3 linked regions of the Coturnix japonica genome follow. Each later gene encodes a partner of the first gene's protein in a complex. Links are inferred from orthologs where the notes say so. Each region holds a gene or a part of one and is shown in the gene's direction. Other genes may lie near its edges.

Region 1 (4,262 bases):
TAGTAGACATTAACAGCAAGCTTTGCAACAGCTTCTGACCTTAAGATATAAAAAGCCTTAAAGAGTAAAAGAATAGTGGGGGAAGAGCTCTGGGCAGGTCTGATGGTCCAGCCAGCAGAGGGCAGTGGAATTTAATAGGAAAAGAGGAAAGTTATTGAAAATAACACCATCACTTCATTTGAAGAACCATCAAACCAGGTTGTTATTTGAACCTGCGTATCCAGCACAGACAAGATACAGGGCAAGAAATGTTAAAAATGAAAAGAAATAGAAAATAAATGATTGTGGATCCTTTGGGTTTCTAAGCAGTCCCCATTCAGAGCAATGAATGGCATCAGGAAGATGTCACACTTAACACATCACTTAAGAACAACCAACAGATCTTTGATATCGTTTTCAGTTCTCAGCACAACGATCTGAAGCCACCTCATCTCATCTGCTGAAACCACCTCAGGGCTTCAAAACCTGTGGGCAACTTCTAAAGTTAAACCAAGCCAACATTGAAGCCAACCAGGCTATTCCTTCCAAGCAGACCCACCTGCATCGTGCTGGGCTGAGCAGAGCGCTGCTCCTGCTGCACAGAACAGCAACACAAGGCACAGAGCGTGTGGGTGAAGGCTTTAAACCTTGGCAGCTCCTCCTCGTTCAGCTGAGGGGGGGCACAGAAGAAGAGTTTCCCACCCTGCTACCAAACAGGGTAAGCGCGGAAGGGCTGAGGTTTCTATATGACTCGCTGCGAGCTCGGTTTGCATTTTATGACAAAAAGACAGACTTTTTTTGCTCTCTAAGCACCTTTGATGTCAAGCTGCCTCTCCGTGTGCCCGGGGCAGCGCAGTGCTGCTCGGATGGGCCGCAGGATGATCCCAGCACCACGCACAGCTCAGCTGAGCCCTGAGTGCTACGAGGGGGACACCCACCCGCAGGGCTCAGCCCGGGGCTGTGCAGAACGACCACGGCAGGACCCGCAGCTCTCAGCCCCGTGTTGAGGTTGAGCTGTTATCCCTAAAGATAGAAGTCACTCCGGGAACGGAGCGACCCCTCAAAGCTTAACGACCCCTCCGAGCTTAACGACACACCGGAGGCAGATCGGCCCCGCACTGCGGCTCCTCATCCCTCCCCATCCCCGTGGCCGTCCCATCCCCGCTCCATCCCCCCCGTAGCCGCTCTCACCTCCTATCGCTGCCTCTTATCGCAGTCTCCTATCGCTGCCTCTTATCGCTGCCGCCCCGTTGGATGCTCGTGCAGCCGGAGCGCTCACCTCACTGCACCGCCCCCAATGGCCACCAGGGGGCGCTGTACGCCGGGTAACGGGGCTCCCAGCCCTCAGCGCGGCCAATCGCGTGTCTCTCCGCAAAGCACGCCGAGAGCTGTAGTTCAGTGTCATGGCGCTGCCGCGGGGAACGCTGGGAAATGGAGTCTCGGCAGCGCGCCTCACAGCGGGAGTCTCTGTTAGTGAAACTACAACACCCATCAACCCCCGCGCGCTACGGAAGCCGCGCTGCCGGTTCCTCGTTACGCGGAGGACAATAATGGCGGCCGCACCGCCGGGCGGTTCGCAGCCTCCGCTGCAATACAGCGCTGTGCTGCAGCACCTGGTGGGCGAGCAACGCCGACCCCGAGTGTGGGACCCCAACAGCTTCGGGGGCATCCCCTGCCCGAACAAGAGCGACGAGCAGAAGATGGTGGAGAGAGCCATGGAGAGCTGCGCCTTCAAAGCGGCCTTGGCCTGCGTGGGGGGTGAGGGGGGGTGGGGGACACACGGTGTTGGGTTGGGGCTGAGGGGGGGGATGAGGGTCTGTCAGATCTTAAGGGCAATTCCAGCCCATGGACACGGGGAAGGGGCTCCCACCTTCCCCTCCAGTTTAAGATAGAACTCTCTGTGCTGTGTGCCTGCACTAAAGGGGGCACTAAGATGGTGAAGGGCCTGGAGCATCTCCCCTATGAGGAGAGACTCAGGGAACTGGGTCTGTTTAGCCTTGAGAAAAGAAGGTTGAGAGGGGATTGGATCCAGGTTTATAAATACCTGAGGTGTGGGGGCCATAGTGGTGAGGCTGGTCTCTTTTCAGTAGTGCGTGGGGACAGGACTAGGGCTAATGGGATGAAAGTACAGCATAGGAAGTTCCTTAATAAGAACTTCTTTACAGCGAGGGTGACGGAGCACTGGAACAGGCTGCACAGGGAGGTGGTGGAGTCTCCTTCTCTGGAGATATTTAAGACCCACCTGGATGCCTACCTGTGTGATGTGGTGTAGGGAGCCTGCTTTGGCAGGGGGGTTGGACTTGATGATCTCTAGAGGTCCCTTCCAACCCCTACAATTCTGTGATTCTGTGATCAGATCAGTGTCTGCAGCACATCAGCCCTTCATGCTGCCCTTAAGACCAGAGCAGCTCTAACCCTGTGAGTGTTGGATCACTGCTCCAATCCAGAGCTTCATTTCATAGCTGTTGTCTTCCCCAGGGTTTGTTCTTGGAGGAGCCTTTGGGATCTTCACTGCTGGCATCGACACCAATGTGGGCTTCGACCCCAAGGACCCGTATCGCACCCCGACAGCCAAGGAGGTGCTGAAGGACATGGGGCAGCGCGGCATTTCCTACGCCAAGAACTTCGCCATTGTGGGCGCCATGTTCTCCTGCACCGAGTGCGTGGTGGAATCGGTGAGTAACGACCCTCAAACGTTACTATGGGAGCTTTTATTATACACCATTGAGCGCCTTTCATGAGTCCAAACCACTGTGGTGAGGGATTGGCTCGTTGCCTTTTGCTTCTTGATCATTTAAGCTTTTCAGTTCTAAAGGTTTTCAGAACTGTTCTGTGTTGGAATAAGCAGAGCTGCATGCAACAGTGAAGAGCTTTCCAGTTCAAGTCCTGGATTTTGGCATTGATTTTTGAAACTTTAGCTCCAAACAACTCATAGTTGTGTTAAAACATCAAACTGGGAGTTGCAACGTGGCCATCTGAGCCTCTAAAAAGTACATGTGAAGAAAGGGATCCTTTGATGAAAGATCTGAAGTAATAGGGCTGTTTTCATCTTGCCCCTACAGCAGGAAACGACCTCGTGCTGCTCAGTGGTAAAGCTATCACCCGTTTTCTTAAATAGGAAGATGAGCCTGTTATGAATGTCAGTACTGTCCTTCAATCGAAAAACACAATTAGTTCTTAATCCGTGTAAAAGAAAAGTGTATCTGTGTGCACAACGAAGCAGAACAAACACGTTGCACTGGTGAAAAACTAGCTAATAGCTAATGTTTGCCCGCAGGCTGCTGTTTGCTCTCATGGCTGCATGGCCATGCTGTGCTCACAGTGCCTTTAAATTGTCTGTGAGCTGGTGCCGGTGCACTGTGCTGCCTTGTGGGGGCTGTATGGGCTCATCTGAGAGTGTGCTGTAGCACTGCATTGCACCATGCGGATGTGTCTTACCTCTCCTGCTGACCTGCTCCTTCCCCTCCTCCTGGCCACATAAAAACTTTTACAGTGCAGGGGGGCCATCTGCTGAGAGCAGAAGGAAAAGCATCCTCATCTGAAACAGGGCTGGAAGGCTTCACCTCCCTTGGTGTTAGTACAGATGTCGAATTGTTATTCCATGTTTACTTGTTGTCTCTTGTTTTTTAACTCCACAGTATCGTGGAAAGTCAGACTGGAGGAACAGCGTTATTAGTGGCTGCATCACAGGAGGAGCGATTGGCTTCAGAGGTTGGTGATGCCTGGTAGCAACTGCTGTGATAAGGCAGCAATTTGGGATGGTAACAAGCAGCATTTTTAAGGCAACGCACGCTGCAAATCTCTCTGTATGGGGTTATGTTGATGTCAGCATGAGAATGTGCTTGAAGTTGGCAGAACTGTCATCTCTGTCTCTTTCCTGTCATCTTGAAAGATATGTGTGGGTAGGGAAGGCTGGTTGTACAGGACAGGGAGAGCGGAGAGAAATGAACAGAAGTGACTTGAAAGCAAATGAGGAAATGGTGCTGGTAGCTCTCCACATGCTACTGGGGTGTCATGGAGAGGGAGCCAAAAATATGTTCTGAGCAACTCGCTGAAGTTACAGCTCTTGTGTTAATAGAGCTCTACTTAGATATATTGTTTCACTGGCAGGAACTCTGTTAACTTGATCAGCTTGTACAATGCCTCCCTCCTTTCTCCTGTCTCAAAGAGGCAATTCTATGTAGCTGTACAAGAGCAGGAGCACTGAGATTTTAGTCCAGCAGGACCTAGAGGGGACTTCTTGGGAAGCTTTGACTGTTAACATCTGGAGAAGAGCCCCAGGC
Region 2 (4,177 bases), on another chromosome or scaffold:
AATTTAAGAACATATCTGGGTATTAACTATGCAACATGCAGCAGTACATTAATAAGCCCCCTCCAAACGCTTCAGCATGAATATCACATTAGCAACAACTGGGAACTTATCGTGCAGAATCAGAGCTCAGGATCTGCTGTGCTTCTCCAGATGCTGATCTCTTTGCTCAAGGCTGTGGGAAGCAACAGTGACTTTCTTACCATGTGTGGTACAAAAATGGCCTCCACAGGATCTTCCACTACAAGCAAATGTTCTGGGTGACCCTTAGTACACTGGACTCCTGAAAATAAAAGCAATTTTACTGCGGTTAAAGAGATCTTGAACGTGTTGTCGTTACCCCTTGATTAACCCAAATCTCAGTCTATTCTCTGCCTGGTGGCCCTGCCAGGCAGGGGGGTTGGAACTACATGATCCTTGAGGTCCCTTCCAACCCGGGTCATTCTGTGATTCTGTGATAGAGATCTAAATATAACTCTCATCACACAAATGACCGCAGTTATCTACCTGAACCTTATGAAATGGAAATGGTTTACATAATGCTACCAGAGGCAGTTTTCATGCAGATCACAGAACCCAGGTTGGAAGGGACCTCAAGGATCATGTAGTTCCAACCCCCCTGCCTGGCAGGGCCACCAAACATACACCTTTACTAGATCAGGTTGCCCAGGGCCCCGTCCAACCTGGTCTTGAACACCTCCAAGGACGGGGCATCCACAACCTCACTGGGCAGCCTGTTCCAGGGCCTAACCACTCTCCTAGTGAAGAACTTCCTCCTGACATCCAACCTAAATCTTCCCTCTTTTAACTTAAAACCATTTCCCCGTGTCCTGCTATTGTCAGCCCTTTCCAAGAGTTTACTCCCCTCCTGGGAGTAAGTTCCCTTCAGGTATTGAAAGGCTGCAATGAGGTCACCCCGCAACCTTCTCTTCTCCAGGCTGAACAAACCCAACTCCCTCAGCCTGTCCTCATAGGGGAGGTGCTCCAGCTCCCTGATCATCTTCCTGTCCCTCCTCTGGACCTTTAACAAAATCTCCATGTCTTTATTATACTGAGGGCTCCACACCTGGACACAAATAACACGTAACCAATAAATACCTGCGCTGCGGGTCGCGACATCGACAATTTTACAGCTGTAAAATCCTCCTGCTGCTCTCACCCCGTGGACGCTGGTGGAGCGAATGAGCACATCGCCTGCAGTCAGGCTGACCAGAGAGTCCCGGCTGGAGCTGCTCTCCGCTTCCATGCAGGCTTCATAGCGGTGCAGCTATGGGCGGTGCTTTAAAGGCAGACCCTAAGGGCCGTGTGAGGGTAGGCCGCTGCGACAGCCGCCATGGTAACAGCGCCCGCTCAGCCTGGGTCGCGCACTGATGACGTACTTCCTTCCAGGGACTCGAATCGGCGGGTTTAGAGCTGAGTGTTTCCGGCTGGTGGCGGTGAGTGCGCTCAGGGCGGCGGGGAAGGGCCGCGGTGTGGGCAGGGAGCACAAGGTGCCCTTGAACAGGAGAGCTGAGGGGTGTGGGGAACGAGTGAGGGGCTTCATCTCTGTGCTGTTATGGGCTGAGGCATCAGGTAGGACTGGAAGCGCCCTGCTGTCCCTTGGGAAGGCCTGGCCGTGCGGGCCATAAGGCCGCGTTACCACTGCGCCGCCAGGGGGCAGCGAGGGAATGGCTTATAACCCTATGGGTGCTATGCACATGAGGCTGGAAGAGTGAAGGACGAGACGAGTGTGGCCTTGTAGTCATCAACAGGCCTTGACCATGCACCAAAAGCCATATTTCCAGCGGAGGGCCACTAAGATGGTGAAGGGCCTGGAGTATCTCCACTATGAGGAGAGACTTAGGGAACTGGGTCTGTTTAACCTTGAGAAAAGAAGGCTGAGAGGGGACTTGATCCAGGTTTATAAATACCTGAGGTGTGGGAGCCTTAGTGGTGAGTCTGGTCTCTTTTCAGTAGTGTGTGGGGATAGGACTAGGGGTAATGGGATGAAAGTACAGCATAGGAAGTTCCTTAATAAGAACTTCTTTACAGTGAGGGTGACGGAGCACTGGAACAGGCTGCACAGGGAGGTGGTGGAGTCTCCTTCTCTGGAGATATTCAAGACCCGCCTGGACGCTGACCTGTGTGACATGGTGTAGGGAGCCTGCTTTGGCAGGGGGGTTGGACTCGATGATCTCTAGAGGTCCCTTCCAACCCCTACAGTTCTGTAATTCTGTGTAATAATAAGCCTGTGGTGCACACAATGCTTGCAGAGGGTGCTTCAAATGTGTAAAATGAGATGGTGCCATCGGGTTGTTTTAAGTCAGAGCTGCTTCCCAAGTGCAAGTGTACAAGCTTTGTGAAGCAGCAGCTCAATTATACGTAATGTTAAGCTTGGCAAGCAAGTGACAGAAGTGGAAGATTTCAGGTTTGTTGTATGCAGACACAGTGAAGCAATGCTGAGTGTGAGAAAGGCACTGGGAGGGTCTGAAGCTGAAGAGGACAAAAGTCTTTCCTCTGCTGTCTGTGGGCTTGGGCTGCCTGTTTAATCATCAACTTAAAGTGGATTGGCAGCGTTCTCACTCTTGGTTTTCTTTCTCTTGTAACAGACAGAAATGGGAGAGTAGAACTGCCATCCATTTCAGTTGTTCTCCCAGATGACAACTGTGTCCGCTTAATGCAAGTGAGAGGTTACAATGGCTTCAGCAATGCTTTGCTTCTCTGTATTTCATAGGTTCTCTTTAAAAGAGAGTGATTTAGTGTAGGGTTTTTAGAGATAGGGTTCTGGTTAGGCTGCGGTTGGACTTAAAGATCTTCAAGGTCTTTTCCAACCTGAGTAATTCTATGATTCTGTGATCTATTGACTTGTGAGGCATTCCTGGTCGCAGGGATGGATATCTTAAACCCAAGAACCACATGCATTCCTTATCTTCAATCCCTGAATTCTATGGCTCTGTTCTTCCTATGTAGCAACAAAGCATAACTTCAAGAAGCAGCTATTTACCATTGCTCCACTGCTGGGAGGAGGAGGGTGGCTGCATGTTTGCAGGAGCTCTGCTTTGCTATTTTAGTTGCTTCATTTGCTTTCCCTTGTAGAAATAACTCTTTTTTTGTTCTTGTTCAGAATAATTAGTAGCTGTGCTCACAACAAGCTTTCCTCACAAAGAGATTCTAGCTTGGCACTGACTTCTCTTCCACGCATTACTGCGAATAAGACTGAAGGATCATCTTCTCTTCAGGGTGTAACATTAACTGGCATTACCACGGGTGATGGACCTTGGTAATACATCAGGCATGGGAAAGGAAGGCGTGCTTTCATTACGATTGAAGGCTGCCTAGAGATGTACATTCAAGCCTTAACTTGTTTATGAGGAATGCAAGCCATCCTTAAGGATGCTTGCTTCAATTCTTGGATCCCTGGCTGCTCATTCTTCCCTTTTCATTGATCTGTTTTTCTTTCTTTAAGGCTGCCCTCATTCTGTTCCCATTTATTGCATTTCATTTGCTATATTCAATGACCAGAACACTGACTCTAGTTTAAGTGTTTGGTGAGAATGCAGCTGCATTGAGTCCATTCATCCATTTCTGATCCATGCTGGTTCATTCAAAGTTGGCACTGTTTCATATTTTTTTTGCCTGTTCTTTAAATGACAGCTAAAGGCACTGAATTAAAAGGCTACATAATATTACTGCTTGCTTCTCCTCCACTCCAGTTTTACTTCATGCACTTGAAAGCCTTTATAAAAATTCCATACCTTTCTTCACCCTCCTGTATAGTCATTTCAGCTGTTCTAAATGCTTATGAAGTGTTTAAAGGACAGCAGTTAGCAGGTAGATCTGGAAAGAACTCAGCATCTTGAACTATCTGGGATATTCTTCTAGCTGAATACAGGTCAGATAACTTTGAATGGGTGGTTTGAAAGCTTGCTGGCACCATTGCATTTAAGTAACCTTAAGGAACACGTTCAGCTTGGTTCTCTCCAAAAATGTTGTTGTCTGTGCATAAGCTTTTTGTGTAGAACTCAACTTATATCTTCAGAACAGGTGACAGAATCTCAGGGAGCAGAATATGGCCGGACAGATATCAGAAACTGATCAGATCAAGCAGGTGAGTGCTGTGTTTGTCAGCAGTGCATTTGAACATCTTCTATTAATTTGTCACATAGAGTAAAATGTACAGTGCATGGAGCAGAAGGAAAAG
Region 3 (2,683 bases), on another chromosome or scaffold:
TTACAGTGTCCCCCTTAGCCTCACTCTCAGCATCCTTTGCAGCCTCCCCTTTAGCTTCACCCACAGCATCCCTTGCATCCTCCCCCTTAGCCTCACTCCCAGCATCTCCTGCCATGCTGACCTCACTCACAGCATCCCCTACTGCCTCCCCCTTAGCCTCACTCCCACAGTTCTTCTCTGCTTCTACCTCGCCCCCAATCCTCGTATCCCCTGCACTCTCCCCCCCAGCGCCCCCTTCATCCCCCCCAGCCTCCCCCTGCCCTTCCTGTGCTGCACTTTCCCCGCTGTCCCCCCCCACCATCCCCTCTGTGGGCCCTGTTGATGTCTGTGTGAGGTCACCCAGGGCAGTGTCATTTGGGGTTGGGGCTCCATCGGTTGTTGTGGACTCCATGCTCCTACTGTGGGCTGCAGGGTTGTCACTGAAGTATCCACCGTGCCTTCCACCCCATGCAATCCCATTGCACTTCTGTCCCTCAGCGTTCCTCCTGCCCGCCCACCCCATCGGCCCCAACACAGCTCCCAGTCCCCATCCCATCCCCATTATTTATCCCTTCCCATCCACCTCGACCCAACCCCCACCCCCCACTCCTGTCCCCAAACCCCTCCCTCCCCCCTGCACACCCCAACCCAACCCATTCCCCATTCATGTTTTCCTCCTGCCCCCTCCCAGCTCCTCCAGCTCAGTCCCAACTCCACAACTCACTCCCTACCCCCAACCCCGACCCCCCTCCATCCCGTCCTATCCTCGTTTCTCACCCCAAACCCCCGACGTCCCCCCCAGCCCCCCGGCGCCCCATATCCCGGCTCACCGCTCTCCGCTCTCCCCGCGGCCGTGTGACCGCCGCAGGTGCCGCCTTCAGTCAGCGCCGACGGGGCGGGTCGGGGGCCGGAGAGGGGCACAGCGGGGAGGGGACGGGACGGGACGGGGGGGAGAGGAGGCCGGGCGGGGCCTGGGGATAGCGGGGACTGCGGGATGGAACGGGGACACAGGGACACGGACACGGGGGGACGCGTGCACGTGAGGACATGGGGGGACGTGGAGGCGATATCGGGGGGATATGAGGGTCACGAGTGGGCACGGAGACACGGCACATGGAGGAGATGGGTGATGCGTGGGACACGAGGGGACACGGGGGACACATATATGGGAGAGAAGGGTGACAAAGGGAACACAGAGTGCCCTGATCTGTGGGGGGACATAGGGGACACATTGACATAGAGGGACACGGGGCCATAGACCCGTAGCAGACACAGACACGAGGGGGCAGAGCCGTGAGGGCAGACCCACGGGGACACGCGGAGGTCACGCGTGGGCCGGGCCGGCCCCGATCCATCCCTGCCCTCCATCGCCTGCCCCCGCCCACCCCGCTCCGCACCGCTCCCCACGTCCCATCAGCGCTGAGAACGAGCCGTTGTCCCGCCCCCACCCGTCTCCTATTGACCGAGAGCGGCGGCGGGGCGGAGCGCCTGAGCGTGTGGGCGGAAGCGCGTCCCACGTGCATCCTGCGGGAGCGCGGTGCGGGAGCGACATGGACCCGCTGCGGGCACAGCAGCTGGCGGCAGAGCTGGAGGTGGACATGATGGCCGACATGTACAACCGGTGCGCGGCCTGACGGGACGGGCCGGGGCCTGGGGGTAGTGCCCGGGACAGGGAGGGGCTGGGAGAGCGAGAGGCGCGTGGGTGTCGCGGGTGGGGGCTGTGCGGGGGCTGTGCGGGTGCCGGGGGTGGGGGGTGCCGGGCAGAGCCGTGGGGTGACGGTGTTGTCCCTCAGGATGACGCAGGCGTGTCACCTCAAGTGCGTGCCCCCACACTACAAGGAGGCGGAGCTGTCGAAAGGCGAGAGCGTGTGCCTGGACCGCTGCGTGGCCAAGTACCTGGATGTGCACGAGCGGATGGGCAAGAAGCTGACGGAGCTGTCGCTGCAGGACGAGGAGCTCCTGAAGCGCATGCAGCAGGGCACGGGCACCGCCTGAGCCCTCCCTTCGGACTCCCCTTCCCATCGTACCAATAAACTGGAGGCTCTGGGCCAGCTGTGTGCTTCCCTCGGCCCCCCAAACCCGTCTGTGGTGCTGTGTCAGGGGGTGTCCCACTAACCTACTGGAGATGGGGGCACCCCGGCGTGTCTGCTGTGCCCACGTCAGCCTCGGGGATAGGCTGAAACCTTCCTTATCCCTTATGGGGTCAGGACAGGGCTGTGCCCCTCACTCTGCTTGCTGGGGGGACACTGGGGAGCACCTGGAGAAATGGCCACAAAGGGACACCTGCAGGGGGGCAGTGAGAAAACAGCACACCTGCATGGGGACAGGCACAGAGACATTTGGTATGGATGGCTGGAGAGGGACAGTGCCCTTTCCACACCTGGAAAAGGACCACACAGGGACACCCACGTGGGGACACTTAGGGGGGGACACCTGGATGGAAACAACCCCAGAGCCACACATACAGATGTGCACACATGTGTAGGGAAGACCTGCACAGGGTTACTAGATGGGAACACCCAGCCAGAGACACCCCAGCCTGGGGGTGGGCACTGTGTGTCCATCCACCCGTACACACACAGTGCGCCTGTGCCGGTGTGTCCCCGGGGCTGGCTGGAAGTGGGTCAGGCTGCGCGCACACTCACTGTCCTCACAGCTTGTGGGTCGCATTACGCCCCACCGTGAGCCTGTCGTGCAAGCAGTG

The links.
Region 2: the proteins of TIMM22 (region 1) and TIMM9 are in contact, whole or in part, in a cryo-EM structure (PDB 7CGP), measured with the Homo sapiens proteins. The link is inferred for Coturnix japonica from reciprocal best matches to the Homo sapiens genes TIMM22 and TIMM9. Residues at the interface, in NP_037469.2 of Homo sapiens: Asp35, Arg37, Gln38, Pro39, Arg40, Leu42, Gly45, Ser46, Leu47, Gly49, Ile50, Ser52, Pro53, Lys60; in NP_001291414.1 of Homo sapiens: Gln13, Glu16, Phe17, Thr20, Leu57, Thr60, Gln61, Met65, Phe67, His71, Gln74, Asn75, Leu78, Lys81.
Region 3: the proteins of TIMM22 (region 1) and TIMM10 are in contact, whole or in part, in a cryo-EM structure (PDB 7CGP), measured with the Homo sapiens proteins. The link is inferred for Coturnix japonica from reciprocal best matches to the Homo sapiens genes TIMM22 and TIMM10. Residues at the interface, in NP_037469.2 of Homo sapiens: Tyr25, Ser26, Leu28, Leu29, Gln30, Tyr31, Leu32, Val33, Arg40, Leu42, Leu47, Gly48, Glu67, Glu144, Ser145, Tyr146, Gly148, Ser150; in NP_036588.1 of Homo sapiens: Pro3, Ala6, Gln7, Leu9, Ala10, Ala11, Leu13, Glu14, Val15, Met17, Met18, Ala19, Tyr22, Ser44, Lys45, Gly46, Glu47, Arg53, His62, Glu63, Gly66, Leu69, Thr70, Ser73, Met74.

Annotation. Positions count from the first base shown.
Region 1 is NC_029534.1:5,110,302-5,114,563, reverse strand, and holds the start of TIMM22 (mitochondrial import inner membrane translocase subunit Tim22), read left to right. Parts: upstream 1-1,367; 5' UTR 1,368-1,382; coding exon 1,383-1,737; intron 1,738-2,457; coding exon 2,458-2,654; intron 2,655-3,617; coding exon 3,618-3,690; intron 3,691-4,262. UniProt on the Homo sapiens protein: Essential core component of the TIM22 complex, a complex that mediates the import and insertion of multi-pass transmembrane proteins into the mitochondrial inner membrane. In the TIM22 complex, it constitutes the voltage-activated and signal-gated channel.
Region 2 is NC_029520.1:50,193,297-50,197,473, forward strand, and holds the start of TIMM9 (mitochondrial import inner membrane translocase subunit Tim9), read left to right. Parts: upstream 1-1,335; 5' UTR 1,336-1,433; intron 1,434-1,464; exon of another isoform or gene 1,465-1,487; intron 1,488-1,517; exon of another isoform or gene 1,518-1,569; intron 1,570-2,199; exon of another isoform or gene 2,200-2,659; intron 2,660-4,015; 5' UTR 4,016-4,045; coding exon 4,046-4,084; intron 4,085-4,177. Other genes in the region: KIAA0586 (protein TALPID3), read right to left, coding at 201-280, 1,096-1,243. UniProt on the Homo sapiens protein: Mitochondrial intermembrane chaperone that participates in the import and insertion of multi-pass transmembrane proteins into the mitochondrial inner membrane.
Region 3 is NC_029520.1:7,775,143-7,777,825, reverse strand, and holds TIMM10 (mitochondrial import inner membrane translocase subunit Tim10), read left to right. Parts: upstream 1-1,461; 5' UTR 1,462-1,529; coding exon 1,530-1,600; intron 1,601-1,772; coding exon 1,773-1,974; 3' UTR 1,975-2,061; downstream 2,062-2,683. Other genes in the region: SMTNL1 (smoothelin-like protein 1), read right to left, coding at 1-502.